Rhinolophus ferrumequinum: one gene and its partners. The protein of the gene in region 1 binds, or shares a complex with, the protein of each later gene. Links are inferred from orthologs where the notes say so. Each region holds a gene or a part of one and is shown on either strand. Other genes may lie near its edges.

The links.
Region 2: the proteins of BCCIP (region 1) and TENT5A are in contact, whole or in part, in a crystal structure (PDB 8EXE), measured with the Homo sapiens proteins. The link is inferred for Rhinolophus ferrumequinum from reciprocal best matches to the Homo sapiens genes BCCIP and TENT5A. Residues at the interface, in NP_510868.1 of Homo sapiens: Val57, Asn58, Ile59, Glu60, Phe61, Glu62, Ala63, Tyr64, Ser65, Leu66, Gln146, Val149, Leu150, Phe152, Cys153, Glu154, Lys155, Asn156, Cys157, Glu158, Lys159, Glu163, Lys167, Leu203, Ala204, Ala206, Thr225; in NP_060103.2 of Homo sapiens: Arg87, Gly88, Asp139, Glu151, Gln155, Lys158, Lys184, Glu185, Val188, Gln189, Lys190, Met191, Val192, Lys193, Val194, Cys195, Asn196, Asp199, Trp201, Asn213, Arg289, Lys295, Glu331, Arg334, Gln341, Asn342, His343.
Region 3: the proteins of BCCIP (region 1) and TENT5C are in contact, whole or in part, in a cryo-EM structure (PDB 8EQB), measured with the Homo sapiens proteins. The link is inferred for Rhinolophus ferrumequinum from reciprocal best matches to the Homo sapiens genes BCCIP and TENT5C. Residues at the interface, in NP_510868.1 of Homo sapiens: Val57, Asn58, Ile59, Glu60, Phe61, Glu62, Ala63, Tyr64, Ser65, Arg136, Gln146, Cys153, Lys155, Ala204, Gly205; in NP_060179.2 of Homo sapiens: Asp90, Asp92, Glu102, Gln106, Arg109, Lys135, Glu136, Val139, Gln140, Lys141, Leu142, Val143, Lys144, Val145, Cys146, Thr147, Asn164.

The regions. Positions count from the first base shown.
Region 1 is NC_046299.1:5,345,865-5,356,180, reverse strand, and holds the start of BCCIP (BRCA2 and CDKN1A-interacting protein), read left to right. Parts: upstream 1-6,186; 5' UTR 6,187-6,341; coding exon 6,342-6,509; intron 6,510-10,316. Other genes in the region: UROS (uroporphyrinogen-III synthase), read right to left, coding at 529-625, 2,245-2,328, 2,514-2,576. UniProt on the Homo sapiens protein: During interphase, required for microtubule organizing and anchoring activities. During mitosis, required for the organization and stabilization of the spindle pole.
Region 2 is NC_046286.1:40,704,787-40,715,163, forward strand, and holds the start of TENT5A (terminal nucleotidyltransferase 5A), read right to left. Parts: upstream 4,625-10,377; 5' UTR 4,352-4,624; coding exon 4,332-4,351; intron 4,124-4,331; coding exon 3,565-4,123; intron 2,453-3,564; coding exon 1,676-2,452; 3' UTR 1-1,675.
Region 3 is NC_046305.1:47,527,843-47,538,033, reverse strand, and holds the start of TENT5C (terminal nucleotidyltransferase 5C), read right to left. Parts: upstream 4,987-10,191; 5' UTR 4,835-4,986; intron 1-4,834. UniProt on the Homo sapiens protein: Catalyzes the transfer of one adenosine molecule from an ATP to an mRNA poly(A) tail bearing a 3'-OH terminal group and enhances mRNA stability and gene expression.

The DNA of each region.
Region 1 (10,316 bases):
TCATATGTTGTTGGAGCCTCCATCATCGTTTGAGGAAAGAGCCTGGCGCCGATATACTGAGGGGAGCTGGGAGCGCCTGGCAGGTGAGCATTTCGACGCCCGCTGTTACGTCTGTCTGGGGTTTAGGAGGCAGCAGTGTGTCCCGTTTCCCACGGCAGGGTGTGTGACATGGCCCCGCGAAGTGCTCACTCCCATCAGGACACTCACAAGTTGGCATGTCCTTCTGTGTGGGACAGCACGACACAGCTTACGAGGAGAAAGGTCATTTCCTGCTCCCGCCAAAGGTTCCACAAATGTGAAGTAACCTGGTACCTCAGGACTTCTTGAGCTAAAAGTGACTGCAATTTTTCACACCTGAAGTACCTGTATCTGCAATCTATTAGGTTGGTGCAAAAGTCATTGCGGTTTTTGCCATGATTTTTAACCCTGTAAACCGTAGTGACTTTTGCACCAATGTAATCGCATTGCCAAGGGGAGAAACCAGAGTGAAGAGAAGTCCAGTGGAATTCACAGCAGACCCAGCCTCACCTTCAGTTTTACTGTCTTCCTCCAAACACAGCTCCACAGCTTCCACTGCTCGGGGACTGGTGAAAATGAGCCCTCCATAATCTTCTGGATGAGACAGCTGCACACCAGACAACAACAAAGGCATTTATGTGATGGCTCAGCTCAACATTTCCCAGACTTCCAAATGCTCAGAGGCGTAGCAGGCCAACTGAGTCATGCCCCGCGTCCACTCGTCCATCCCTCCACGCATCCGCTCAGTACTGACTGAGAGCTGACCCAGTGCCTGCACCTACCCTAGGCCTTAGGAAAACAGATGAATCCGTTACTCCTGGCACTCCCTCAAGCAGCTCAGTCGAGGGGGACACAAGCAGGTGCAGAGAAGGGTGGTGGATGTAACCAGAGCAGAGGGGCAACGGGTCTCAGCCTGGGCGTGGGCAGGAGGGGAGACCTGACCTGCATGTGTGATAGAACTGGAATATTCAAGGGGTGCTATCCACGCTGAAGCCCTGATTTTCAAAGAAAATGACAGTGATAAGATCGACTGAGCGTTTGTTCTGAGCCAGGCGCTCGGCTGTTTCATACAGATCCCTTCCCTGAACCTGTCCAAGTTCCCTGTGAGATCGGGGAGGGGGTGGTGGGGGTTCTATGCTCTCCTCATAGCTTATGCACACAGGCTTGGAGAGGCTGAGGAACCAGCCCGAGGTGAGCCCGAGGTGAGCGTCCCCGGGGACCCCCAGGCCTGTGCTCACTGCACACCCGGGGGGCCTGATGGAGGGTTCAGAGAACCCCTTGTGGAGCAGGGTGGCTGGTGTTGAGGGACAGGCTCCTGATTTCAAGTGATGTGGCCTCGGTTCCCCTTTAAAGCTGCGTACAGAAGACCATGCCAACTCGGGCCCCTGTTACATCATTCCCTCAGCACACAGACCCAGGGCATGGGAACATGATAAATCCCAAGTCAATGTCTGTGGAATTGAAGGAAGAACTGATATTCAGCTCAACCGGAAAGAACAGGAAGCTTTTCAGAGCGTGAAGGGCACGGCTGTGAGGTGCAGAGCCCGAGGGTGAACCTGGTGGTAACGGGCCGTGGAGCCCGGTGAGCAGGGCCGGGCGCCCTGGTTCCATGAAAGCCACCTGGCTCCTGGCCCACGCGTCCAGAAAGGAGCTCCCGGGAGATGCCCTGGGGTGTCTGTGTGCGCAGCGGTGGGGTTGCCTGGGCACTGACTCTTCAGCCTGAAATACCTGACAGGCTTTGCTGGGATCGTCCCTCCCAGGCCTGGCAGCAGAGCTGATGCTGTGGGGACATGTCCTGGTCTCGAGTGCCGACACTGCCTCTTATTTGCTGGAGGCCTCCGCTCAGTTGCCCAGCCTGGGACCCCAATTTGCACTTTGCATAGGTCGGGGCGGGTGGGTTAAAGCAGAGGATGCGTGGGAAAGGTCTGAACTGCTGAGGACAGTGCAGCTCTGGTGCCCTCCCCACAACCTGCCCTCCTGGGCCTTCTCACAGAACCCAGTCCAAGCCAGGGCAGCTTTCTGGAAGAGCTGATGGAGGAGGCTCAGGCCGAGAAGCCAACAGCAGCCCAATCCTGACGCTAAGTGGGGCTGTGCTGCCCTGTTTTGAAGTTTGGTACTGAAATGAGGGGAAGTAACAAAGTCCTTTGGCTTGGGTTGGCACAGAGTCTCAGAAACTAAATGTATCACACTTAGAAGTTACGGTGCTCAGACAATGACAGACCTTACCTTCTCCGAGAAACTGGGAAGAGACAAAAACTCAAATGATAAAACAGGGATCAAAGTGGCTTCAAGTCCATATAATCCTAATTCCTGCAAATAAAAGAATATAGTTCTGGATTGGCCAGGGTGGTTTGGAAAATAAGGAAAGGGTGATGGTATCATATGAACAACTTATTCTGTGCCAATTCCTCGGTTTTAGCACCCTCCGCCCCCGCCCCCACTTCACTGGTAAGGCAGTGCTGCGCTTTCCGGGACCAGGAGTCTCGGGCACTCACCCTGATGTACGGATCCTGGCCACTGTCATCCTCCTTGGCGTCTTTCAGTAAAAGAACCTTCATTGTTGCCTGGCAGTCCTTACAGGGCGCTGTGACAGCAGGGAAACAGACCTTACTTAGATCGCAAAGTCTTCCTAGGCCAGGAGGCCAGGAGCACGGGGAAGGAGGTAATCGCTGCTGGCTGACATCACCTACCCCCTGCACACTGAGTCAGCAGCACTCATGGGCTTGTTCCTTCAGAAGACTCATCCCTGATAAGGCCGAGGAACAGCATGCTGGCACTTGATACCACTGGAAAGGCAGATGAAAGCCATTAGGCAAAGCCAATGTCCTAGTCAAACATTTAAGGCTCACAGAAGAGAAGTGAGGCAAATTCTGGGTTGTGTCAATAACAAATAGAGAAATGGGTGTCTCGTATTTTAAGGAAATAAATAATTACTTCCATTTCAAGTTATATAGGCTAAGTTACTCACAAGCTCTTTAGGAAATGATTATATTGACTTCTCAAACTACGTTTTATAAATGTTGTCAAGTATCATGAGACAAACTTTCAAAAATATGTTCTGACAATCTAGAAAACAATTTATCGGTATATATCAAAAGCCTTATCTACTTCATACCTTTTCTTCCTGTAATTTCATATCTAAGAATAAACACTAAGGCAATACTCATAAATATATGCAAAGATTAACATAAAGTTGCTCATCCTGGTATTCTATTTTTTTATTATTGAGATATAATTGACATACAATATTGTTTAAGACGTACAACGTGCAGATTTGATACTTACATATTACAATATGATTAATTAACACCTCTGTCATGTCCCCAAATTATCACTTCTTTTTATTGTTGTGAGAACAAGTAAGCTCTAATCTCTGAGCAACTTTGAAGTTTATACTACAGTATTGTTGACTATAATCACTATGCTGTGCATTAGATCCCCAGAATGTATTCATTACTAGTTGCAAGTTTGTATCCTGGTAGTCTTTGTAATTGTAAGTGATTGGAAACAATGTAAATGTCTAACAATGAGAATGGTTAAATAATTTATGGTACAGTTATATGAAATCATTCAAATAGTAATCATTTAATTAAATGGATTAGATCATCACAACATAATATTAAGTTAAAAAATCAGGATTCAGAGTTGCATAAATAGTATGATTTTATAGATTTTATACATAAACATATGAAAGAATAAGCTTCAAAATACTAATAGTAATTATTTCTGGTGGTAGGTTAGGGTGATGATTTTCTTCTTTACCTCTTTCTGTATTTCCAAGTTTTTCTTACAACAAACATTAAATTCCTTTGTATGGAGGAGAGAAAAGCACATTATAACCCCCCAGAGGCCTCAAAATAAATGCTGCCAAAGAACTGGAGAAAAAAGGGCAGATTATTATCCTGGACGTATCGTTAGACCTGCCAGCAAATTACCTAATAAACATAGTACAGCAATTGGTAATAGTCAAACAGGGTGTATTGCTCGGAGCAGAAATGTGTTACCTCTGGGAACCATTACTTATAAGCTATTACTGAAAATAGAGAGTGCCAAAAAATGTATACACACTTTAAGAAAGGAAAAAAAACTGTATTAAAATTGTAATAATAAATACCGGTAACAAAAGATGAATACAAGATATGTGTATACATTTTTTTTGGCACCACCGGTATTTCCAAAACATTATAATATCTATAGGACGTCTTAGGAAAATTTGGCTCAAAATGAATTGTTTTGTATCTAAGCAACCAAACCTGGGTGAACACATACTAATTATGAAATCAAGTTCCAATTATTGCTGCTGTCGTGCTGTTAGCTAGAGAGGTTGGGGATTTGGGAAAGCGGGCAGCATAATTTCTCTCCTTTCCTGAAGTTACTGAGACTGTGTCTCAAACAGAAATTAGGAATCTACCTTTTCGTGATGGTGAGTCTTATGTGTCAACCTGGCGAGGCTAGAGTCCTCACTCATTCTCAAATGCTAATCGAAATAAGTGTTGCTTGGAAGGTATTTTGGAGATATGGTAAAGGGCACCATCAGTTGACTTTTAGTAAAACAGATTAATTTAGATAATCTGGATGGGGCTGATTCAGTCAGGGAAAAGGCCTTAAGAGCAGAACTGAGGCTTCCAGCGGAAGAAGCAATTCCTCCTGTGGACACAGCTTCAGCTCATGCCCGAGTCCTGCCCTCTCCTTGGACTGCACTATGGATTTCAGACCTGCCCCCAGAGTTGCATTAAGTCTCCTAATATATATATCCCCTACTGGTTCTGTTTCTCTGGTTGAACCCTGACTATGCATCTTCCAATTTGGGGGTTCCAGAAATCTGCTATGTCATTGAGTAGCAGGTAAAACTTGGCATTTTCGGCTAACGCGTAATTCTTTCCAGGGCACAAAGAAAGCAACTATTGTGGGATTAAACAGTGGAAGCTTATTGCTGTTGGAAGCGGGGAATCTTCTGGCCACAAATCTCTTCTCGGCCCTCCCATGACCCCGCCATGGTTCTAGGTTCTGAAATACAGATCCCACAGTTTTCAAAAGGATATGTTAGTAATGCTCTCAAATACCAGGGCCGATCTCTCACCGAGGTGTTTCTAAATAGTGCTCAGCAGTGACACCTAGTCTCCCTCAGGGTGTGCATTCCTTACTGGGGGTGGGGGACAAGTTCAAGTACTACCCAGTGCTAGGAGGTCATGTGGTAGAGGGAACTGGGGTGCCGATAATTAGTTACTTCCCAGGGGCACCTCTCTGGGAAGGTGACATCTGAATGACAATGGCAGTGAGGAGAGTTAAAGGAGGTGACATCAGAGTTCCGATCTGAGTGACAAGAGCCATCAGGAGAAATGTTCAAGTGTCAGAAAGGGTCCCTGGTGTCCCCAGGAAAGACGGGTATGCTGGGCTTGAGTGCAAGGGACAAGGTGACTTTGGGTTCCACGAGAAATAGTAATTCTCTGAAAGGTTTAAGTCGAGAGAGGCAGCGATGGGACTTACGCTTCAGAAACACCCCGGCCTCTGTGGCGAGGAAGGCCATCGCAGTAGGTTGGGCGGCGGCGGTGGTTTTGGGGGTTTAGCAGTGGCGAGGTTAACTACTAATGTTACCACTAACGTTAACTACTAATGTAATTCTGGGTGAAATCACCTGTCCACAGCCAGGTTTGTAATGGTTGGGAGCAGGATGAAAATAAGGACCTCTCGTCTTTGAATCCCACCATGTCTTCGTCGGTACCGAGGGCGGTGACACCTACCTCGCCGGCCTGGTGAGGCCCGAAAGGTCTAGGAGCCCGGGCCGTGCCCAGTCCGGCGGGCGCGGGCCCTGGTCAGTCCCCCGGAGGCGCGGTATCTCGCGATGCCAACCAGGAGGCTTTGAGGATGCGGGAGTGATTAGCAGGGCGGGGGGCGGCACCCTCACCACGTGGCCTGCACTACCATGGCGACGACCTGCGCGTGGACTGCGGGCACCGACACCGCAACCCCGGGTCGTGGAACCCGCCCTGCGCACAGCTGGTGATCGCGCATGCGCTTCGACATCCAGGCCCGGGGCGGGGGGGGGGGGGACGCCACCGAGATGGGTCGAACCACACTGCGCGAAGGGGAGGGAGAGTCTTGGAGGAGGAAAGGAAAGATGGAGGGAGGAAGAAAAGGCCAAGATAGGACTCCAAGATGGACTTGACTCTGAAGGATCGCGGTCGTGGAATTCAGCAGGGGCCCTGGCCTTGTCGCCGATTCAGCGCCGAGGCCTTGTGTGATCTCTCACCCCCTCGGGCTGTGTGGATGAGTCCGGAAGGGCAGGCGTCGGGACGTGGCGCAGGCGCAGTGAGGCCGGAAACATGGCGTCCAGGCCCAAGCGGCGCGCTGTGGGCAGTGGAGCTTCGCGGCCGCTAGACTCCCGGGTCCCGCGGCCTGAGGAGGAAGCGGAAGATGAAGTCGAGGACGAGGACGAAGACGGTGAAGACAGTGACGAAGACGAGGATGAGGACGACGAGGTCGTCGACGAGGTGAGAAGCACACGCAGCCCCAGTGTGGTTTGTATCCGGGGAAGAGCTTTCTGAGCGCCCAGGGCGTGTGAACGTGTGCGCTGCTTGGAGTCCTGACTTCGCGGTCAGTACCTGAGGGTCTGTAACCTGAATTTTGAGATGGTAAGAGGTGGTTAGTCAAGTTGCACTGCTGTCTCTTCCACCCTGCAGCCACAGAATTTGTTTTGAAACGCCCCACGCCAGCCAGGTCGGCCCCGGCCCCATGCCTCCCCCGCCCAGAGAAGAGCAGCACAGCGCTTGTCCCGTGACTTTCCCCAGTTCCCGGGCGGAAGCCCCAAGCCCACAGCAGGCTGCCCAGGGCTGCAGGGTTTATCGTCCTCTGCCCACCCCGCAGCCCCAACGCCTGGTTGGCGGCGCCTGCCTCCCGCGCAGCGGCTGCCTTTCCGGTTCTTGAGACCTGCTCCCGTCTTCCAGGAGCCTTTCCCAATGCTCTTCATCCTGCGTGTTTTCCCTTCCCTGTTCGGGGCTCAACCAAGCTGTCTCGTCTCTGCCTGCGGGTGGGGGTGACGGGTAAGCTGCCCTCCCCATCTCACCAAGTCCCGGGGGTACGTTCTCGTGGAACCGGGTTCCTTAGAACAGCTCCTGCCATAGCATTGTGGGCACGTAATATTTATTGAGTAAGTAGGACTAAGTGATCCTTACAACCACTGAATGGCTAACAGGTACCTCAAATTGAACACCTCCAAAGCACAATTTGTAATGTGTGCCCTGGCTCCTGCTCTTTGCCATTTCTGTAAATGGTTCCCAAATTCACCAGTTGCTCAAACCCGTAACCCGAAACTTAAATTTAATTCCTTTTATTTATCCCATATCCCGCTCGTCAGTAAATCCTGTTACCTTCCTTTTCGGTATCCAGATGTTTTTCATCGTCGGTTCTACAACCCTCATAATGCACACCTCCATCGTCTCTTGCCTGCGGTACTGTAGTTGTGTTAAACTGGCGCACCTGCCTCCGTTCTTACTCCTCTACAATCTGTACCCCATCCACAGCCAGAGAGATCTTTTAAACACGTATGTCTGTCCTCACTCCCCTGCACTGAACGCTCCAGTGACTTCCCATTGCATTTGTAAGAAAATTCGAAATCTTCATGGTTGAGGGACAGCAAGTCAGTCAGTGTGGCTGGATCAGAATAAACAGGAAAGAGAGAGGGGAAATAAAGTCAGAGATCAGCGTGAGTCAGAATGGCCGTGGAGGGGGATACAGAGTAGCATGGATGCAGGGCCGAGCCTGGCCTGGGCCTGTGACACATCCGCCCGTGAACAGAGTCCCCTCACAAAGCAGCTCTGTACTGCGGCCCCTCATCTGGCACTTGGGCTCACCAGTTTTCAATTAAAAGAACTTGAACCGTTGATTTTGTTATTTTTGAATTATGGAAATCAGTGCTTTTTGCATTAACATGGCTAACCTGTCAAACTGCCAAGAGTTAAAAATCTGTGTAATAACTATCACTGCTGATCGTGTAAGAAAGTAGGCACTTACATACACTGTTGGTGGGAGTGTAAATTGTGCGATCTCTTTGGAGAGCAGTTTGACAATATCCATCGAATTTTACAGTGAATACATCCCCTGACTCAGTAATTCTACTTTAATAATAGTAATTCATGATGTTCCAGGCTCTGTGCACTTTGTATTGACTCATTTAATGTTTACTTCAACTATACGAGGTTAGTAATTAACCATTTTACTACCAAAGATACAGAGCAGGTTAAATGAAAACAGGATGTGTAGTGAACCCTGTGTGAGAGAAAGAAGAAACAAAATATGTTTGATTGTATGTGTCGAAAACTTATTGAAAGGATAATTTACTATTGACAGTAATCTCTGGAGAGTGGGGGCGTGGGAAAATAAGACTTTGAACTCTCTAACCTCTACACTCTTTGTAGTGTTTACCACTGACGTATTACTTTTTTGACTGAAGAAATTGTTAAGGTTTTTAGGGCAGTTAGTAGATACTGATTCCTTTATTTATTTGAAGGAGGCTTTTATTTTCTGAGATGGTCACTCATCCACATTTCATTTCCCTGATGTAGAAATCTGTCAGAATTGTTTTTGAAATTCAAAATCTGCCCAGATCTGTTTTGAGACAAGATATAACTAACGAAGGAAATGTGCAGTTTTTTATATTTTTTTAAAGCTCTAAAGAGCCTGATTTTGAAGGACAGGGTGACCGGCTTTGAAACAGCTGGCTGAGCAGCAACAGAAAGAGAATTCCAAGAAACAGGTGGGGATAGTGAGAAGGAGAAGAATTGGACAAGGCATGTTTCGATAAGGTTCCTTTTGGTCATGTGGTTAGGACTTTTGTTTGTGCTGAATAGAAACCTTGGAGGATACTTCAGCAGAAAGGGGAATTTGTGGTAAGGGTGTAAGGGCATCTTGGAGACTTCCAAGGGCAGGAGAGCCGCTGGGCCTCCGGAATGGACTGGGTCCTGGAGCCTGGAATGCTGTAGAGAAACCGAGATGTCCTTCACAGTTGTCATCTCTGCTACATTCAGAATATTTGGTTTTCTTTCTATTTCCACTCTGTATAGCAGAAAATAGAAAATACCAACAGCTTCTGAGACTTTTTTCAAAACAGCAAGCAGGCTAGATGCCACATTTAGTCTTAATTCTAAACTAAGTCACTTGGGGGTGAGTGGCAGGGCTCTGTTTTACAAAGATGACTGTTGCCCTGAAACCATATGGGTGGGGGCCCATACCAAGGGAAAGGGGTGCTGGGCAGATAATCCATTTGGTGTGTGTTGCAATGGCAGTGCCATAATGGCCTGAGACAGGTCTGCGGCTTCTGTCTAGATAAGGGAAAGAATAGTAGAAGAGCTTTATTTCAGAATTTATTTCTTTTTAAGGAGTAATTCCAGACATGAATTGTGACAGTTGGTTGTTTGCTTTGGTTTGACCCTGTTTGGAGCACCCCCACCCAACTCCCAGGGTTTTGCTGTTCACGTGATCTGGCTGAGCCTCCTTCAGAGAGCCAGGATTTGAAGTCCGTAAACTGGCCTTGATATCCAGGCCTTGGCAAGTTAACAGCCAAGGAACGCTTAGATATATGCACATCAGGATGGCAAGGCAAAAGGAGGTCTCATTTTCCTCTATGGCCCCCTTCAGCTAAGGCCCAGATTGCAGAGCCTGCGAAATTTGAAGTGTGTGTAAATACACTTTTTCCTCAGAGCCCCACGTTTGGTGTGTCACTTACCAAGGTTTGACTTAGGATCCTCAAGGGCTGATCTTGTGTAGCGTTTGAAAGCTTCTCAGCTCTTGTTAGTGGAGAGAAGCGATCCATTCATTTATTATGGGATATGTCAGTGGCATCACCTCTTAGATTCTGTCGTCGTTTTGCCAACACAGATCAGGGAGCCTGGCTACACACACCTTTTAGTTCCTGTACTAACTGTATTTCCTCTGACCTCAGGGCCTTGGTACGCGCTGTTCCTATGCCAGGAGCTCTTGTCTGCAGTTCCCAGCTCAAATGTCACTCCTCTAAGGGAAGTCTTCCTTTGCTATCTGACCTCCTATTTCGCAAGCTGTTATAACACGTGCACCTGTGTTTTATAGCTCACATAGTTGCAGCTTCATATTTAGTTGAATATTTCCTTAATGTCTACATTTCCACCTAAACCATAAGCTCCATGGGGGCAGGATTATTCACGCCTGCTTTGCTCGCTCACCTTTTCATCTCGAGTGCCGAGCACAGTGCTTGGTGCATGGTACTTAGGAAAGACGTATTTGCCAAGTGAATGAAGCGTAGCCTCAGACCCGTGGGCTGAAGCAGG
Region 2 (10,377 bases), on another chromosome or scaffold:
AGATTAGAGATGTTTCATATTGGCATGAATTTATAAAATTTTATATATAATATATATCTCATATATAAATTTTAGGCAATTGTGCAAATACTCTTTAAAAAGGGTCATTTCACATTTACTAAATTCTAGTGGTCCTGTAATGCAGAATGCATTCATTAAAAAATTTATTTAAATATTAATAAGTAGTGTTCAGATCACCAGAAGTTATTTTTAGCAGTCAGGGATTTAAATAGACTATCACTGATCAATGATCCACTGGATTATACACCATGGAAGCATGCAAGTATTACAAAAAAATAAAAGGGTTCAAACTGTCAAAATGGCACTTCAGTATAAAAAAAAGAGTGCTCTGCCAAACAAATATTCTCCCATTTGTGGAATTCTATGGCTCACATAAAAAGGAAAAACACTCACTAAAAATGTATAATTTCTGCTCTTCCTATCAAATATATTACTTGTTTTCCTCCTTCATTTGCTTTAATATTTTTAGATGTGGGTTTTAATTCATCAATGCAATATGCCCACATCTCAGGTCATCCTGTTGAAAACATAAAAACACAGTATTTAAACATTTCCTATTTGCTACATTATTCTAGACCATAGTCAATGTTTTGTGTGTATATATTCGTCACAAATATGAATATATACACACATAATATACATACACATACATATGTATCTATGATAATGTCACACCAACAATGTTAACTTTATACAAGTATTTGCCAAGAAAAAATAGGGCATTTCCTCCACCATTCACAAGCTTATGTGTTGTTTTATTTTCTTCTTTAGTCCCTGATAAAATAAAATAATCATTAAACCTTAAAAGTTTTCCACTCCAAATTTTCAAAAGGCAACAGGCACTTTGATGTATATTGGCGTGTAACAAATATAGTAACTCTTTATATATTCTACTATATCTCTTCTACTTGGGTATTTTTATCTGTTAAATCTTTGGTCCTTGAGCATTACTTTCTTTGCTACAGCTGTTTTTGCTTGCATTTTCACATTTTAAAAATGCGAGCTATGCATGCAGCTGGAAATAATGGATTGTGTCATCATAGTTCTGCTGTTTGTTATGAAAACTGCACCAACCTACTACTGTTCATTTAGAGCAAGCCGTTTCTGTTAGCACAATAGAATAATTTAACAGAAAGTACTTGCTACAAGCCTCAGGTAGTAAACCCAATGTCGGAGTTCCCCTTCTTCTTGTGTTGTTACTATATGAATTTCTGATTTGATAATTAAGTTGAGGGGAAACCTTTTATCCTTTCTATTTTCCCTTTTGTGAATTCCATCTTATGAGAAACTTCACTTTTCTTTCTTACGGCAAAGCTATGGGAGCAAGGTACTGCAAACCCATATTGTCATCAAGCATTTTTTTCCCATGTTATTTTAGGAGAACCTGTTTGCTTTGAATGACAGGTCTCTTTTGTTTCAGGATAGAATCCAATTGGATAGGAGGACCGGGTGGGTAGGTTGCTGGTGGGTGGGGATCATTTGGAGATCACGCTCCCATACCTATGAAAGGATCCACAAGCTTTGCCAAGCTTAAAACCAGGAGCAGATCATCATTGCACAAAACACGTCCCTAATCAGGGCTGGGTCATTCAGCCTTCCCTCCCCCCCTTTCTTGTCTGAAATGGCTTCCCCACAGGACATTTTAAAATAATTCTTAATTGCAGGGTAGCCAAGTGGAGTATGTCTGTTGCTGGCATGTGAATACTGGCTGGACTTGTGCAATGTAGTAATTGCTAAAGTTGGCATCTGCTACATAGGGGGCCGGTTGGTAATAGCAAGTGACATTGGCCACATTAGGGATGACATTTTGGTCAGCTAGCACCCGGATAGCCAGCATTGTGATAAGGTTTAAAGTCTGTCTTCTTTCATGTCCCATCAGGCACACTGTACTCTCATTTACCACTCCATGAAGGGTCATGAGATAGTCATACTTGCGGTCTTCCAACCCCACGAAGTGGTTCTGTAAATAGGACTCCAGTTTTCTCTGCTGTTCTCCAATGTCTGAGAAGTCGATGAAAAACCTGGAACACATATACCTCTGAAGGGTCTTGATCTCATCAGAGGCAGGCCTAAAGCCCCTCACTAAGAGGTTGCAGTACTTAAGCAAGCCTCCCCCTCTGATTTCCTCTGGGTTCCTGGTGGCAATGATCTTGTTACAAAGGTGATCAAAGGCTTCGTGGAAATCACCATAGACGCTCTCACCGATTATCGTGGGGTGAAATGTTTCAGTCATTGGGTTCTCTGAACATTCGTAAAAGAGGAGAAGAGAGTCTAATTTGATTTGAAAAGAATCTACACTAAATTCAAACTGCCTCCGGAGGGAATCCACAAATTTCAGTTCCACATTTTTGCCACTGTTGTTTGACAGGGATATAAGACTCCAGCGGTCAGAGTCATTGCACACTTTAACCATTTTCTGCACATAAGCTTCCTACAATTCAAAAGATAAAACAAGAAGATAAGCATACCTAGAAAAGATCATAAATAAATACGTCTTCACAGATGAGATTCATTTTGCTCCTTCCCTTTTGTTTTGTCAAGTTTCAGCAAAACACTACCTACAGGCTTAAATAGTCTTCCGAAAACAGAAAAAAAAATACATTTAACGAGTGGTTTTACAGTCTGGGAAGGAGACTAGAAGTAATAATTTGAGGCTTTTGGCAGATGTAGCACAGGACTGAGAGGTTCTGTTGTCTTGTCTGACTTTTGAAGTGTTATTTTTTGAAAATGGTCTTACAGGTACAACATTCACACAATATCCACACAATAATCAAAAGACAGAAGAGGATACAGTGAAAAGTTAGTCTGCCTCTCATCCTTGTCTCTAGTCACCCAGTTCTTCTCCCCCTGAGGCAACAGATGTGATCAGTATCTTGTCTGTCCTTCTAGGGGTACTCAGCAGTTACAATCAAAATGAACTATATTAGGACATTCTGGGAGGCTGATTCCTCAGACAATTTTAACTAAACATATAAAACGCGCTTTGAACCAAAGTAGGGAGGGGGGACCCACTATACCTTAACAAATGAACCAACCCGGAGAAGCACCACATTTATCCTAAACACACAGAGTCAGCTAAATGCAGCTAGGAAACCTATTCACATTTTCCAATACAATAAGCTCACTGACTTGGTTCTGCTTCAGGCTGCTATTTTCTCAAAGGCTACATCATAAAATGACTCAAAAAATGATTTACATCATTTCATTCTTCCACTTAGAATCTACTCTGAACAAGGCTCAAGCAAGGAAAGCCAAGAGTTAAAAAATAAGGAGAAGGAAGAGGAGGGAGGGCAGAGGAGGAAGCAGAAGAATTGTGGCGCTGAAGCACCAAGTCAAGTACAACGCTCAACACTGTTCCACGCACCTTACTTGACTCATTTTTCTTTTTTAAATCAAAAGCAAAGTAAATAAGCGCGCCCAAAGCTGTCACGGCCGCAGATCTGTGGCATCAAACACAAGTCCCTCTGAAAACCCCTTTCCCTCGGCCCGCCGCACCCCAGCCCAGCCCGGGTGCGGACCCCAGCCCAAGTCGGGGGGCTTTACCTTGAGCGTGAGTGGTGTGATCTTCTCTTTGTTCACCCCTTCGGGTAAGAAGTCCAACAGGCAGTCCAGCACGACGTCCTTCACAGTCTGAAACTCCTCTTCCCCGCGCAGGTCGGCGCAGAAGATGAGGTCCAGGTCCTTGTAGCCCAGGCCGCTGTCCTGGTGCAGGACATGGCTGGCGGCCGAGCCGTTGAGGCGCACGTCGCGGACGCCGATGCACTTCTCCGCCAGCCGTCGCCGCACCACCTTCACGATCAGGCTCGGCTGCAGCTCGAGCGTGGGGAAGTTGCCGCGCCCGTGGATCGGGATGATCTCGCTCAGGATGCCGTCCAGCCGCTGCACTTGCTCCCAGTTCAGCACGTTGCAGTGCGCCGTGGAGCTTTCGCAATAGTCCAAGCAATGCCCGCCGAAACCGCCGCTGACGACGACTTCGCCGCCGCTAAAGTCGCCGCCCAGGGGGATGTAGGGGCCGCCGGCCAGCTCGTCCTCGACCATGGCAAAGTACCCCTCGCCTTCCGCCATGAAGTGCCCGCCGAATGCCACTTGGCCCTGGTCGGTCCTAAAAGAAGAAAGGAAAAAAAAAAAAGAGGGGAGAAGAAGCTAGGTGAGGACGCCTGGCTGCGAACAGGAGCCCGTAGAGGAAAGAGCGCGCCCCCTCCCCGGTTCGCTCCCTGACCGACTTGGGGACTGACTCCTCTGAGACTCTTCCTCCCCAGCCCCTCCTGTCCCCAGCCGCGCGCACCGCGCCCCGCAGAGCAGCCCCGCACCAAAAGTATCTCTGATGCATCTGGAAAGCGCAAGCGGGAGTCCCGTCTGTGTCACCTGGAGACGGCCGCCCCTTCTAGGAGCGCAGCGAGCGAGGAACCGCGAAGGGGCAACACTTCCAGGAGCTGCGACTGCGCTCCAGGCAGCGGCGAGCGACTTAGTCCTTCCCAGACCCCAGCCGCCTGAGCTGGCCACTCCCGCCTCTCGCCCCCGCCCGCGCTGCTGCCGTCTCAGCTGCGGTGGTCCTAGAGGTGGCGGCTCCTACTACTGTTGCCGCCGCCGCACACGCTCCGGTCTCTGGAGCTTTAGCACTTATGCGAGGGAAACGTCTTCAGTACTTTTTTTATACCGGGCCTCTCCGCGCTTCCGGGGCCCTGGCGCAGCGCGTTCGCCACACCCTCCTCATCTGCATAGGGCGCCGCCCCTGCCCGCCGGCGGACGGAGCGCGGAGCTGCCCGCGCGCTGAGCCCCCGGGGCCCAGCCAAGCGGTTTTCAGAGCCCCAGGCCAGTGGCAGTACTTGTGCGCGTATATTACGTGCGTGTATTTATACATATATCTCTCTTACATACAGCCCCCTCGCCCATGCGTGTTTTTTTTTCCCCAACGGAGGAGACAAAAATGTCTCACGGGTCCTAAGTGGTCCTCAAAACTGGAACATAACTAAAACCTCGCAACTACAGAAACTTCCCAAACATAAAATTCTCGCCAGATGTGGTGGGTTCTTACAGATGATGGGGCTCCAGAGGTTCTTCACGACTTCCCTGTTAAACACCATGTACTGTATAGCTAGACGGTTTACTTCATTAATAAACCCGGTCTCTGGGTGAATTCATGAGTCCACTTGTCCATTCAAAGCGGTCGCTGCGCCTGAGAGGAGGGGCTCGCGCCTTGGGTTTCGATTCTGGAAACGTCGGGAAGCGCCTGGAAGCTCAGGGCGAGCTTGAGGAGACGCGAGGGCGGGGCCGCGAGCGTGGGTCCGACTTCTGCGCACGAGCGGCTCCGGGAGGCCGGAACAGAGCCCTGGCCGGCGCGCGTCACTGAGCGGACTCCCGGGCGGCTGTGGCGGCCGGGTGGCCACCGGCCAAAGGCCGAGGCCGGGGGCGGGCCCAGAGCGCCCGGCGCGGGTAGCGCGCGGCCTTTGGGGCGCGCAAAGGGCTCCTGCGCGGAGCCCGACACTTCGCAGCGCGACTGTTACTGAGAACCGCAGGAGGCAAAGCGCGGTAGGAATACCGCGCTGAGGTTTGCCTTTTTCAAGTGAAAACAAATGTCAGTGGGAATGAGCTAGTTTGCTAGTCACGGTGCGTGTTTACAGGATAAAAGAGTTTCTCCCCGAGCTTCGGCGGTGCGAAAGGAGTGTAAAGATTATCCCCACCCGTACTCGCACCACCATCTTTGCTAGAAAGCTCGCCCTCTGCCCACCCTTTCTTCTGGCCGCTCGCTGCCTTTCCCGAACTAGGAGGAACTTTCTTCTACGTAGAGGGTCCGTGAGGCTAAGGTGGGGTGGAAGGGGAGAGCGCCGGGAAGCTGGAAACTTCCTCGCGTGGCCCTGCGCCACCCCAGCCGCCCAGCCTGGAAGGGAGAACAGACCGCCCCCTCTAAACTGGGGGAGCCCGGGCCTGGTCACCAAAGCTGCGCGCCTGGTGGGGTCCGGGGAGGGGACGGTCACCCGCGGAACATCCAGCAGTGTGACAACGCCGCCCCCTGCCGGTGCCCTGCAGAGCTGTGTCCCAAAGCAGAGAAACCGGCGGGACCTTAGAAGGTAGCCATTACCCTTCAGCAATGTGGGCGATCTGGAAACGGCGGAAGCCAAGAGAAACCACACAGTTCTCATAGGCCATCGCCTCTCCAAAAGCACACACGTATTCCCGTCCAACCATCTACGCTTAAATCCATTCATTCTATCCAGGCATTCAGCAAAATTACATATATGTGTATCTATGGTTTGACCACCTATGACCTGCCAGGCACCAGGCTGAGTGCTGAGGATTTAAGAATGACTATGTTTCACAGAATCTCGTGGGCATGACAGGCAAGTCCATAATTATGGTTCAACTGTATATGTGTCATGAGAGAAGGAGTGGTGGGCTAACTAGGATTGGGGGAACTGGGAGAGAAGACCAGAAGAGAGAGAGAGGTTATTTGGGTAGAATCTTGAAAAGTGAACTTTCCTTGGATAGCTGAGGAAGGAGAAAGGCATTATCAACCAAGGGAAGAGTATAAGAGAATTCGAGAATGTTTGAAGATGTATAAACCACCACGGTAAAAAATGAGATCAGTAGTGCATTTGGATAAGGTTTGTGGGAGTTCGAGGAATTTATTGAGCACTTCTAGGCCATACTCTGCTTAGCTCTTTAGACATAAAACCGTATTTACTCTTCAAGGAGAAGGTAATCTATGGCATAGGGATTTGAAAATAGAAGAACCTAGACGTGAAGCGATTCGCCCAAGTTTCATGGCTAATAAGTGCTGGAGTCAGGCCTTAAACCCAACTCGTTTGGCTGTGAGTGCTGTGTAGCCATCATTTTCAGGAATGGGATGTCTGTTACCAGTACCTTCTCACTGGAAGGCAAGACAAGTACAAATAGCAAACAGATTTGAAAGAAAAAGAGGAGGCCTGTTAAAAATGTTTCTTTCAAAGGCCAATATAAATTCTGCCCCTTAAAACAAGGCCAAAGAGGTAGATCATATATTAGGTACACTGAGCTGAAAAAATAAAGTTTAACCCCACTACCACTATTTTGTACTTGATTTTAACTCTTCGTCAAAAAAAAACAAAACAAAAAAAAACAGAAGAGTCAGCTAGTGAGCACCGATGCTTCATGTACGCTCAGGATTTTGTTCTGTGGGGCTAAAGAAATCATTTTAGCAAGTTGCGCATGTGATCCTGACACAAGGGCTCAACCATATTTTGCACTATACTGATGAGAGCCACTGCAGTTCTCTAGGTTGGGACCCTCTCTCAAAGAGAGGCTGCTCTTCTCTGCCGGGCTGCTCTTAGGGACCCTCCCAGGAATGGAGCACATAGCTGAGAGGCTGAAGTAGCACATGAGGCACACATGGAGGGCCTGCTATTCGTCAGACCCTGTTGTGGGGAAAAGATAAGTTCTAGCAGCAGTGGGGCAAGACCCTCCTCCCAAGCTACCAGAGCTTGTGACTGACACTTCCTTAACCCTTTAGCAAAGCATTCCCTACTCCCCAACCAGGATCTCCCCTCACAGCATCCTTCAAAATCTCCATAATCCAGAACCTACCAACTCTTGCACTAGGACATCTGGGTTATCTTACTCTTGGCAGTGCCTTGATGCTTTGACTGGATTCATGTGTGCACGATTCATAGTGGCCACTCAATAAAATTGTTGAATGAAAGCATCTGTTATTCTTTGTCCTTCTTCTCCCTGTCTTCAAACTGACATATTTACATTCTGGAGGAAAAAAATGTTCATCCTTACATGAAATTGCAAATTTTGCAATTTTAAGCATTTAGTTTTCTTCTAGCTAACCAAAATAATTATCACATGAGAAAGCTTATACTTTCCAAACACATTCACAGCCAAGAAATTGCTCAGCACAGATTAAATTTAGGTGCAGACTTGCATTTTTTCCCCCCGGCTTTAGCTTCTGAACCTATTTGGTAAATAATTTACTTTTCCCTATTTAAAAGGGGAAAAAAAATCTATGGCAGTATGATGCTATGAGTCTCTACCTGAAATTCTTAAAAGGAAACTTTACATACATTTTTGAGAATTTAAAAAAACACTTATAATTACTTGATTTTGATTTAAAACGTATAGTAACAATCCAATCAGTCCAGACTTAGCACAATAAGAAATTCAATTTTAGCCTTTAAATTGGTTACCATTATTTAGTTTGTTATGATGTGCCAGGCTCAGTATTTTATATACATTATTTCTTTTCAACTTTCTTCAAATATCAGAGCTTTACATGTTACATTCCCATTGTCCAGATAAGGAAAATAAGGCAGAGAAAGGTTAAGTAACCTACAGAAGGAAAAGAGCCTTGATTTAGAGCACGTGGCTGCCCTCCTAGTCCCTTTTTCATTCTTGAGTCTGTCTTCTCACTTTCCTTTTACACTTAAAACTGAACTGGAACTGCACCCTGCTCCTTTTTTTTCCAGGTTCTGAATGTTCAGATCGGACACAACATTGAAGACCAAGGTGTTTTATCCTGAAACAACCATTGAGGGCCAGAATGCACAGTAAGCTAACTGGGTTTATGGGAGTTTCTTCCCTAGCCATGAACGATCTGTCTCTAAAATAGTAGAGAGCTAGGAAGCTACCAGCCTTACAGAGAGCTTCCAAGAAACCCCACTGACGCTGAAGGAGTGTGAGGCTTGGAGACTGCCCCAAGTGCATTTAACGGTGGCACTACCTTTCCCATTTTGCTTTGTCTGCTTCCTATCTTCTCAAAAATGGTTTTAGAAGATAAGGAAGCAAATATGAAATGATTCCCCCAAGCTCATACCCAGAAGGAGAGAAAAAGAGAAGTGCATAGAAAACTGCTGTTAGTAACCCTTATTTTACTTAATAGTGGCCCCTAAACGCAAGAGTACTGATACTGGCAATTCAAATATGCCAAAGAGAAGACGTATGTACAGGAAAAAACAGTATATAGGGTTCATTACTATCTGTGGTTTTAGATATCTGCTAGGAGTCTTGGAACATATCCCCCGTGGATAAGGGGAGACTACTGTACCTGTTTTCACAGGGACATGGTGCTTGTGAAGTGACTTTCCCCATGCTTCTTCAGGGAAATAACAAATATTTATTCAGGATTTATCGAAGGCCAGAAACATCCTAAATTATATAACTTCTAGGTTAGTTTGGAAATAGCAGTCCAACTTCTTATTACTTGTATGGTTATTAGCAATTAAGGTTAACTTTTATAGTTTTAAACTTTTCAATCCTTTTTATTCTATATTATCTTATTTTATCTTCAAAATTATTCTGATCAATGTGCAGTCCTAATTTTAGAGAGATGAAGAAAGGCTAGGTGATTTTCCCCAAGTTTATATAACTAATTATGGAAAAGTTAAAGTTAGACTCAGTTGCTCTCAATTATGGGCTAGCACGCTTTCTCTCTTGACCCCACTGTTTAATGTTACATCTATATGAGTGGAGTTGAACAATCAGTAATAAATAGTTCAGTTTGACAGGATCCTCTAGCTATACAGAGGGTTATTTGTGTAGGCTGCATTCTCACCTATGAACATCGTATAAAAGCATCGCTACTCTAACATTAAGTATCTTGTAAGTGTAAATTCCTAAGATGTTATTTTTAAGAATATTTATTTGAAGTCTATGACCACATAAAAATAATTCTATTCACTGTCAGATCAGTGAACTTAGGAAATTCAATATGCAAGCTACAAAAATATGGTAGACAGACCTATATCATCACTCTTAAAATCAAACTCGATATAGATTGTACTTTAATAGAGTTCTTCATCAGAAAGACTTGCCAGTATTTTTTTTTTGCTACTATCAGTGCTGATTATGCCAGAAGTTCTTCCTGTTTTTGACATCTTAGTGAAATGCTTGCCGTTTTAATCAATGTTACAAGTCCCATGGACCAGACTCTTTTGCTTACTCCAAACAAAAGAGACGTACAAAATGTAAATTAGAAATACATGTATAGTTTCAAAAACTACCAAATGTAAATAAGTAAATTCCTTTTCCCCAAATATTTGTATTATGAGTTTTTCCTTCTGCATGTTTGCACTGGAAGAATGTTTAACTTCTTTGAAGAAAATGTTGATGTTTACTTATGGTGCTTGTAAAGTTTTGAGAAGGGTTCAAGGAGGGAATATAATGCATTATTCCTCTTTTCTAAAAGAAATTTGGCCAAAAATGTTTATATACCTTGTGAGAAAAAAAGGCCATGTTCTATGGGTATATCCAGCTCATTCTGATATTTTTTCAGCCAATACTTACTTTGTGTTTATGTTGATACATTTGTTGGTCACTGATAATTGATTTCTTTTATATGAGCTTTCAATATTTCAGAGATATTTAATAATGGTATATACC
Region 3 (10,191 bases), on another chromosome or scaffold:
GTCAAACACTTTTATCCATGGTCAGACCCGCGCTGCCCTGTGGCGTCCACAAGCCTCACGTGGCTGTAAGCACTAGACATACAGCAAGTCCAAATCGAGATGTTCTGTGCACGCAAGATACATGCTGGGTTTAGAGGACTTGGTACGAGGAAAAATAAAAATTTTTATATGGGTTACGAATTAAAATATTTACTATGATGGGTTAAATTAATAAAATTATGTTCACCTGTTTATGTTTTAATGCGACCACAAGAAACTTAAATGTGACTCTCCTATTTTTATTGGAGAGCGCTGGGCTACTGTCCTGATGACAATGAGGAAACTGACGTCTGAAGAGGTAAAGGTGCTTCTAGGGCCAGAACCCAGGTGTCCTTCCTGAACACTGCGGCTGCCTCACAGCCACTCTACCGGGAATGCCAGGACTGGCCAGGAGCACGCAGAGTTGGCTGGCTACCGTGGTCCTAATGCCCACCGCTTCACTACCGTAAGCACAGGTGAGGGACAAACACACAGGATGTGTTTGGGAGTACGGGGTGGCCAGCCAGGGGAGGTGCAGGGCTGCCCCTCTCCCATCTTCCTAAGGGCTAAGCACGGTCAGAAAAGCTCATGGCGACAAGAAGGGGTAGAACAGTGGACGATTCGTGGAAAACTGTCTTCTCAAAAAGTGTTTATAGGGAGCTAACGTGGAGACAGCTAGGGGACTTTCTGTGCTCATCCAATTGAAGACAAAATTTGAAAAAAAAAAAAAAACAAACAACAACCTAGAAAATAAGGCAGAACTATACAGAAGTACTGAAGAGGCAGGGAACGGGATATGGGGGTCCCCAGACGGGGTACGATCACAAGCCCCTGAGAAGGGACCGAAAATGGATTGAAGCATGGTACGGAAGGAATGGCATTAATTTGTTCAAATATTTGAGTAGGTGTGCTGTGAGGCACAGCAGGGCAGTTGGGAAGACTCCTCCACAAGACGTCAAGAATAAACAGTAGGTCAGAAAGCTACAGGTCCTGCTAAGACGCTCAGCCTCTGGGGGGTTGGGCAGTTCCCCTGAGTTGTGACGCTGGTGTTCCAGGCCCTGAGGACTAGGATTGGCCAGGGGCGGGGACAGGAGCTGGTTACTGCTCTCATCGAGTTGCTGTCTGTAGGGCCCTAACCAGGTCAGTGATGGCATGGGAAACAAAAAATTAAAAAGACAGAGAATCAGCAGAACTGGCCACCGCTGCGAGCATGTGGTGAGAGAGAGAGGCTGAGCGAGCCCTGCGAGGCGGGTGTTGGGGGGATGGACAGCATAGGAGGCACTTGCAGGAAGCAGGTCAACAGCTTAAGGGGTTTCAGCTGCTGGCCAATTGGTGGCAACTGGCCCTCAGCTCCCAACCTACACCCCGGAGGCCCCCATTTAGAGAAAGGCCCAGAAGCCACCCTGCATTGCAGGCTAGGAGCTTTTGCTCCAAAAGGCTCCAGCCCCCTGGCCCACCAGGAAGACACCTATTTAAAGCAGCCCCCCTCTTTGAGAGGGATGGCAGGCGGATGCCAGCAATCAGGTATCCAGTTACCAGGAGCACCTTCTGCGCGGCTGGCCCTGCTCTCGGTGCCGGGGGCTCCACAGTGAGCACAGATCCCTGCCTTCCTGGGGCTCACATGCCGGTGGCTAAGATGGGCAAGAGAAAGCTGAGAGCCTGAAGGACAGTGGGAGGCTGAGCCACCTCCAGACCATGCCGACAGGCCTTTGCACACACCACCCCCTTTTCTCCTCAGCACAAAGCCACCTAGGAAGCACTGAACCACCTACCAGCTCCATCACTTACCTAAGAAACACTCTAGGCAGTTTAGTGACCAAGACCCCCAAAGGCTCCAAGACTGAAAACACCCTGCAAACAGCCGACACACAGAGTTGCTGAACTTCAGCAATTGTTTTTTATTAGTTTTCTCCCGTTGTCCCAAGAAGTTCTGCAAACAAGGCTAGCACAGGCTATGGGGTCCGGCTGTACAAAATCTATTCATTTTAAACAACTCCTAAGGCTATTTCTTACATAGCTGGGTTATACAAAGATGTTTCCACTACACCATTTAAATTCCAAATAGAAGCTTCCGAATCATGCGAGTCGTGGAAGGATAAAAAAGTCTGAGCCCAGAAGTCCTGGAAGCATCTCAAGAGATCAACACCCGTGATGTACCCAAGTGGCTTGAACACCTCTTTAAATACAGAGGTGCCTGCTCCCCCATAATATAGCTTATGCCAATCTAACGTGCCCCAGGCAAAACACCAAGCTGGCAGAACGTACTTTTCTGTATTGCCTTGTTCACCTGTGACCATGCACACACAAAACAATGAACCTCATCCAACCAGAGGAGTAATGTTTTCTCCCAAGTAACACCTCAGACTCTGCACTACCTGCCCTTCACACACACACCCCTACAAAGCAACAGATACAGTCCAGTATGAGACCAAGAAACCCAAAGACGGCCCAAGTTTAACTCACAAAACCAGTCTTGGCTTCCCCAACTTCTCTCGGTAACACAAAGAAAGGTTTACCGCCTCCTCTCAGGGCTTTGGATTGTCATTCTTAACTGACCCCTTGCACACAATACATCAAAGATGAAAACCAGGTACTACTTACTTGGGCAGTTACACAAAGGTCATTTTCTCAATTTGTATCCAGTGTGTCTGGTTACTGGCACCGGGAGAACAAGGGCACTACAGTCCCCGCTCAGATTATCTTTATTGCCAGGCAGTTCCCTGAACTTTCAAAAGCAGGAGGACCTCTCTGTACCCTGGAGCACAATCTGCTCCAGCCTTGAAGGCTGGGGATGGAGGCTGAGAGGGGTGCTCTCAGGAGATGCCAGGCGAGAGCTTCTACAAGTCAGGATGGGCTTGGGCCCTGCTCCTCTGTACTCAGAGGAGAGCAGAGGAATTAAATAGGGGGAGCCTCGGGAGCTCAACTAAATCAATCAGGGACCTCTGTTTTGGGTAACGACTTAGGAACCTGGCAGAGAAAAAGGATATTCTGGGACTCTCCCCACAGCTACCTGAACCAATTCTATACAACATACACCCAAACCTTCTTTCTAAAAACTCCTTATTGAGAATAAATGTATTCTAAAGATACGAGTATACCTGAAGACATAAAGTTTCAGTTATCTCAAGTAAAAGCTTCACTCCAAAGATAGTAAGTTTTCCATCTTCACAAACAACAACAGCAAAGGACAGATTTCCTGCTGGAACAGCTCAGCCTGCTTCCCTGAAAGCGAAGAGAAAAGTCAGCGTTCTCCAGTCCCCACCCCACCCCCTGGAAACCGGCAGGGTCTCAGGTGCGGCTCTCGCCCTGCCAATACTACTTCTGGGGATTTAAGACTCAGCAGAATTCTTGGTAAGGACTCCTACCACCCTCACCTTGCTTCCTTGCCAAATCACACACGTTGAATGGTTAGTGTAACCAACAATGGCCCCTCTCATTCCGGTCTTGGAGGGCAGCTGGGCCAAGCCAGGAGTCTACTTCAGGAGGATTTAATCGTCTTAACTTCATTTCCTGGGGAGGTTCAGGTTCCTGACCCACCTACCAAATATCCCGAATACCAACTGCCACAATACAAATGATTACATAGTCTTCATAAACCCTTACAGGAGTAGGTGCACTTTAAGCGCTCAGTTAGTGGTTTGTATGTGATAACTCCTTTAAAAAAAAAAAAAAAAACAAGTTAAAAAGGCAGCAGGTCCCTAGTTAAGGATTTGGGCAGCCCTTGCAGAAAGCCGAGCTCTGGACCCACAGGAGAGGGGAAGGGGACTCAGCTGATCCCTCCCTCGGGGTCCAGCCCGAACAGCCGGTTCTAGTGAGCATGGGTCAACTCTCCTTCTCCAGAAAAACTCGCCAGGCGTTTCTCCGAAGAACCCCCCTAACTTGGAGGAAGCGCAGTTTGTTTTTTATCGCCCGCCGGCGTTGTGTTTAGGTGTCCAGGCTATCAATTTGTGCCCTCCTCCGACTCTTGTCCCACCTTAGGGATCTGGGCTGCGACACCTCCCGGGGCCGCGGCGCCTCCGAGCCACCCACGGCACCGCTAGCCCAGTCAACTGACTGTCATGGCTTTGCGTCTACCCGGTAAACAAGTTTCATTTCTCAAAGGGGAGGGACCAGGTCGCAGACACCGTATTCCCGAGAAGCTGCCGAGAGAAGCGCAGCGCACAAGCCACTCGCTTGGATCACTTGGCTGCTCGCGGTGTCCCCCGTCTGGGGCGAGTCCAAGAAAAGTGAGGGATCTCTGCCCTCTCCTCAAAACCCCGGCCCTAGCACCCAGCCTGGGAAGCGCCCTCTCCTCCCGGTCCTGATACCAGCCCCCCACCGCTGCGCCTCCCGGAACCGCCGCATCGAATTCGCGGGCCGGCCAGGCTGGGAGTGCGGGTGGGAGCGCAGGTGCGAGCCCGAGCGACCGCAGGGAAGGGAGGGGAGCCGGGCGCCGGCGGACACCTGGCAGGAGCCCAATGTCCCCATCACGCACTCTTCGGCCGCCCCGCCGCCCCGGGAACGCGCGGAACAGGAACTCGCTGAAGTTTGCCAAACCCCGGCCGAAGTCTCTGGAAAGTTGCAGCTCCCTCTCGGAGCGCCTTCGGGCCCACGGGGGCAGGGAGTGGGGGGGGAGCTGTCGTCGCGGGAGCTGCAGGGGAAGGGAGGACCGGGTCCCGGCACCTGTCCCCCCCCTCCCCGCCCGCCCCCGCGTCCCCATCGGGCTCGGCTAGGACCTGAGCTCAGCTCGCCTGGGACAGACCCCCGAGGGCAGGGTACGTGGTTCCCTGGGGCCGCCGAATCCTCGCACCTGTGCGAGAGGGGGCCCTGGACTCACCTGGGTGGCGGAAAAGGAGACGACAGCGGCAGGTCTTTGGCGTGGGCAGCCTCAGCTGGCGCGGCGCGGTCACTGCAGCCCCCAGGCAGCGGCACTGAGTGAGCCGGCCTGCCGCCGCCCCCTTCGTTCTTATACCCGCAGACACGCCTCCACCCGCCGCCACCTCCCGGGCCCCCGCCCCTGAGCCTGCCTCCCGGGGCCGGGAGGGCAGGGGAGGAGCCAGCGCCCACGGGATCCCTCCGCCTGGGCGCTGACGGCCAGGGTCCGGCGAGAGGTGCCCTCTGATTGGCTCCTCGGGTGAATGGTTGCCGAGAGACGAGTAAATCTTCGGCGTCAGGAAGGGGCGGGGGTGCCACAGGAGGTAGCACCGCGCAGGCGCAACAGGGAGGGGGTGGGTCGGCACCCCCTTAACTTCGGAGTTAGCGGGCCTCCCTTACTTTATACTTTACCCCATGCCCTTTTCTGCCGTTCCTGCCCCGTAACTTTTCCCATCTCTGTCCAGCTTCCCCGTAGGCTTGTTTTTCTTCTGCTTGTCTGGGAAGTTTCTGGTTAGTTCTCTCCAGGACTGGAGAGTGAAACCCCCACGCCTACCTCCGGTGTGTGTTTTGAAATCGGAAAAAACTGGTTTCTGAGCCGAGGAACTTTCTTGATTCCCCAAGCAAATTGGCTGGAGGTCATTGGGGCAAAGGGCCCACGCAGTTGGTACTCTGGCCGGGAGTTAACCACCTGTGTGCAGTTAGTGGGACTAAGGGCCTCGAGGAATCCATCGCCATGCCTGGCAACAGGCGACAGCTTCAGCCCTACTCGGAAAGTCACAGGGCTCAGGCGTGTGTGTTATGTAACATCCAGGCGGGGCCTGGGCACCACCCGTTCGTTCCATACCAAGTGGTTTAGAGTCCAGGTTCTAAATTCAGATAACCTGGGTTGGGATCTGCATTCACTCCCTATCTGTAAGGCCTTGGGCAAGTAACTTAATCAACCCTCCGTAAATATCCATCTCCTCACCTGTAGGATGGGACTAAAAATGGAACAGCCTTACAGGGTTATAGAAGTATTAAATAAGAAAATGGAAAGCTATTAGTGCCTGATAAAAGGTGCGTGGTAAATGTTATTTATATCAAACTGTAACTTATTTATCAAGAAACACTTCTTGAGCTTGTACTGCTCCTCTACGGGATGGTAGGGGAAAAGTTTCCCAGGTGCAGTATTTCCCTACCCCGCCCCTCCCATTCCTGCTTGAACTAAGTGTGGTTTCAGTGTCTGCCAGGATATAAAGAGTTCTCAAATATATGCTTCCCTGGGGAGAGGGAGGTCTCCTGGAACATTGAGATAGGAGATCCCTATGAGTGCTGGTAGGAAAAGCCACAGTGACTCCATTGTGGGACATGAAATCAGGATATACTGTTTTCAATTTTTGTTTTTGAGGTATAAATTCAGTAAAGGGCACAAATCTTACGTATACGGGATGAATTTCTGCATATGTGTACACCCATGTGACTGCCTCCCAGATCGAGTCATAGAGTCTCCAGCTTCCTCGTGTGCCTTCCCACTCAGTGTCCCACAAGGGTGACCACCATTCTGACCTCTATCACCACACGTTAGCTGTACCAGTGTTTGAACTTGATATGGATGAATTACATAGGATGTGCACTTTTGCGTCTGGCTTCTTTCCCTCAATAGCATGTCTATGAAATCCGTCCATGTTGTTGCGTAGAACAATGGTTCATTCTTTTCCAATGCTGTGAATTATTGCATTACACTGGGGGTGCCAAAAAAATGTATACAAGTGGACACTTTGGTCAGTGTTGCTCAAGCAGTAGTTGGCCGTAATCAGAAGTGTCTGGATGCTGATGGTAACCTCTTTGAGCACCTCTTCTACTTGCAAAGGTCGAACGTGACTTATATTCATCTCTTGTTATCGGTATAGAACGAGTATTACAATTTTAATACTTTAGTCCTTTCTTAAAATGTGTATACGTTTTCTTGGCACCCTCTGTATATTCAATAATTTATGTACTCTTTCTACTGGTGGATGTTTGGTTTGCATCAAGTTTTTGCCTGTCATGAATGAAACTGCTTACAAATAATCTTTTTTTCCAGTTTTATTGATGTATACTTGACAAATAAAAATTGTATATATTTAAAGTGTACTACATGATATTGTGTATATATATATATATATATATATATAAAATCACAAAGTAAGTTAATTAACATATCTGTCCACCACCTCACACACCGTGTGTGTGGGGGATGGGTGAGAATGCTTAAGTATATAATACAGTGTTATTATAATCACCAGCTGTACATTAGATGTCCAGAACTTACTCATCCCACATAACTGAACCTTCATCCCTCTGGCCTACAAACATTCTTGTATGTGTCTTTTGGTGGACATAAGCATTCGTGTTTGTTGGGTTTATACGCAGGATTAGAACTGCAGGATCCTTGAAGCTTTCAATAGACTGCCAAACAGTTTTCCAAAGTGGTGTGACAGTTTATATTCCAGCAGTGGTATGAGATTTCCGGTTGTCCCACATTTTAATCCTGTGTTAATATTGTCAGTCTTTTTATTCTAAAAAAGGGGGTGTGTATTTCACTGTGATTTAAATTTCTCTGATAATCAATAATGTTGAGAAACTTTTCATATGCTTATTGGCCATTTTGAGACCCTTTTAGTGAAGTGTCTGTTGAACTCTTCTGCCCATTTGTAGGCAGTTGTCTGTCTTACTGATCTATAAGAGATCTTTATATATTCTGGATGTGAGTCCTTTGTCCAATATAAGTATTACAAATGTCTTCTCCCAATCTGTGGCTTTCTTTTCATTCTTCTATTGTTATCTTTTGAGGAACAGGAGTTCTTAATTTTAAAGTCTAATTTATTAATCTTATTTCTATGACTAGTGATTTTTATGTTTAAGACCTCTTTGCCCAGCCCAAGGCCATAGAGGTTACCTATTTTGTTTTCTTCTAGCATTTTGATTGTTTCAGCCTTTACACGGAGGTCTGTGATTCATCTCAAATTAATTTTTTGTGCAGTTTGGGGTCAAAATTCATTTTTCCCATCTGGCTATCCAATTAGCTCGGCACCCCTGGCGAGTAGTTTTGCTGAATGAATGAATATTTGTTGAACTGAAAAATTCAGTTAAGAAAACAAAGTGATTGGTTACTTAAAATCCAGAGTGTCCCTAAAAATCCAGGATGCGTGATCACATTCAAATTAATGCAAAATTATTACATTACACATTTCTACTTTTTCAGTATCTCATGGACACCATTAGCACAGGGAGCCTCAGGGTCGAACACGGGTCAGAAATTCTTACCTAGAATTTGATCTAGCATGGTTTGGTTCTACCTTTGCTTAGGTAAGATTTTGTCCAACTTCCCGACCACGATGCAATTCTGTGGTAGGGAGGAGAGGAGATCCAAAGCCCAGAAGACAAATTCATTATTCATATAGGTGTATATATGTTTCCTTGGGCCCCTTTTTAATTTCTGGAGCATGCCTTGACTTTTCTAGCATTTTGTTTCCATTGTTTTTGTTTTATTTTGTTTTGTTTTTTTAAACACAGTGTTCTTTCTACCTCATAAAACTGTGGCACCCTGGAGCTGGAAGGCTTCTCAGGAAGTCACCAGCTACTGCCCACTGGATATAGACCCACGTAGTGAATCTGTCCTTCCGAAATTACCGGAGCCACTTTCTTGCCAAATTCTGGCCTCTGCTGGAGCACATCCAATCAAAATGGTTTAAAGACCTTTGCATTCTAAGTGAGTCGTTGGTGTGCACCTAGGAGAGCGGAGGAAAAGAAAGCAAAGGGAAGAAATAATGCAAGTGTGCCTCACTTGTGGTCATGACCCTGAAAACGTTTTATGTCTCAAGAGAATCTTATTTTAAATGCCCAGGCAAGCAAAGAAATTCTATCATTAATCCTTTTTGTAAGGCAAGAAAAAAAATCTTTTGTGTCGTGCCCGGTTATCTTCATTTATCAGTTTCTTCAGTCTGGAGTTTTTGTATTACTTTATCTCAAGGTGGATCACCATGATAAGCGTTATTGGAATGCCCTGCTCTAATATCTTATCTTTCTTAAAATGATTTTTAAGCAAAGTGGTTTTTTTTTATTGCTCTATGTTGGCTTAGAGAGAAGTGCACAGAACCACACGAGCACAACTCAATGAATTTTCAAAAATTAAACAGCACTTTGTCAGGAGCACCCAGACTGAGAAATGAAGAAGCGCTCTAGCACTTGTGGACCTATTTGCGCCGCGGTCTACATCGTGGCAAGACTCTGGTGTGGGCCTAAGTGTGACCTGGCTTTCCCCCTTCCACCTAGAACTCCCGCCGGGAAACCCATCTCTTCTCAGGCTTCTTCAAGCCACTATTTTTTTGGGTGTAACAGAAAGAGAACTAGGTTTGGAGTAAGAACTAGGTAAGGTGTACATTTTATTTGGAACAAAGCACAGGAGGACTGACTGGTCAGACCTGAGGGGGCAGGGCAGAGGGAGCAGGCTGCGTCCTTGGGCACAGCTATGGCAGCAGGCTCAGGTATAGCACAGCAGTGGGGACACTGGAGGACCAGGGCAGCAGGCAGGCAGTAAGACAGGGGTCCAGAAAGAGAAAAGAGGATAGGTGCCCAAGACGAGGGTGCTGACTCATCCCTCTGAGTGCCGTCTCTGGACTCGCTTCATACCCACCACCCTAACAGTGCCCGGAGAAAAAAGGTAGGGTTGAGTCAGATGGCTTGTATCCCTGTCAACTGGCTTCCCCTCTCTGCGTCTCTGCTTCCTACTCCCAAAATGGGAATGAACGTTAGGCTCGCTGCTTCACGGAGGTGTGTGCTGACCAAACGAGGGAGTGAAGCCATGTGCCAACACTGGGCCCCGTTCACAAGAGTCCTCTCCTTGCCAACCTTGGGCCCTTTTTCACTTCACGGTCAGGACAGCTTGCCAAGCAAGTCGGATGAGAGCAGAGGAGGGTGAGTTCTCAACACCGTGCTGTGACGACCTTCACTTCTGGGGCCCCAGATTTCTTATCTGAGGATTATTGTTTTCAAATCTCCCTTCAGGGAAAAGGGATTCCGTGAAAGTGTAAACTGTTAACGGATCATTTCATCTCAAGTCGGACCCCTGGATCCATTCTGAACCTGCCTCACCTTTAGGCCTTGGATGTCTCTCTCGCCAGCTGCCATACTGCCTGAAACTTTCACCATGGGAGTCCGTGCCTGCTGGGAGAAGGGACGTCGCCACTACCACACAGCTTGCCAGAGGACACGGACGCCCCCCTGCTAGGATGGCTACCTCGCCCACCAGGTGTGCTTCTCAATGTTCAAATGTTGGTCTTCCAGTCCTTATACTGGTCC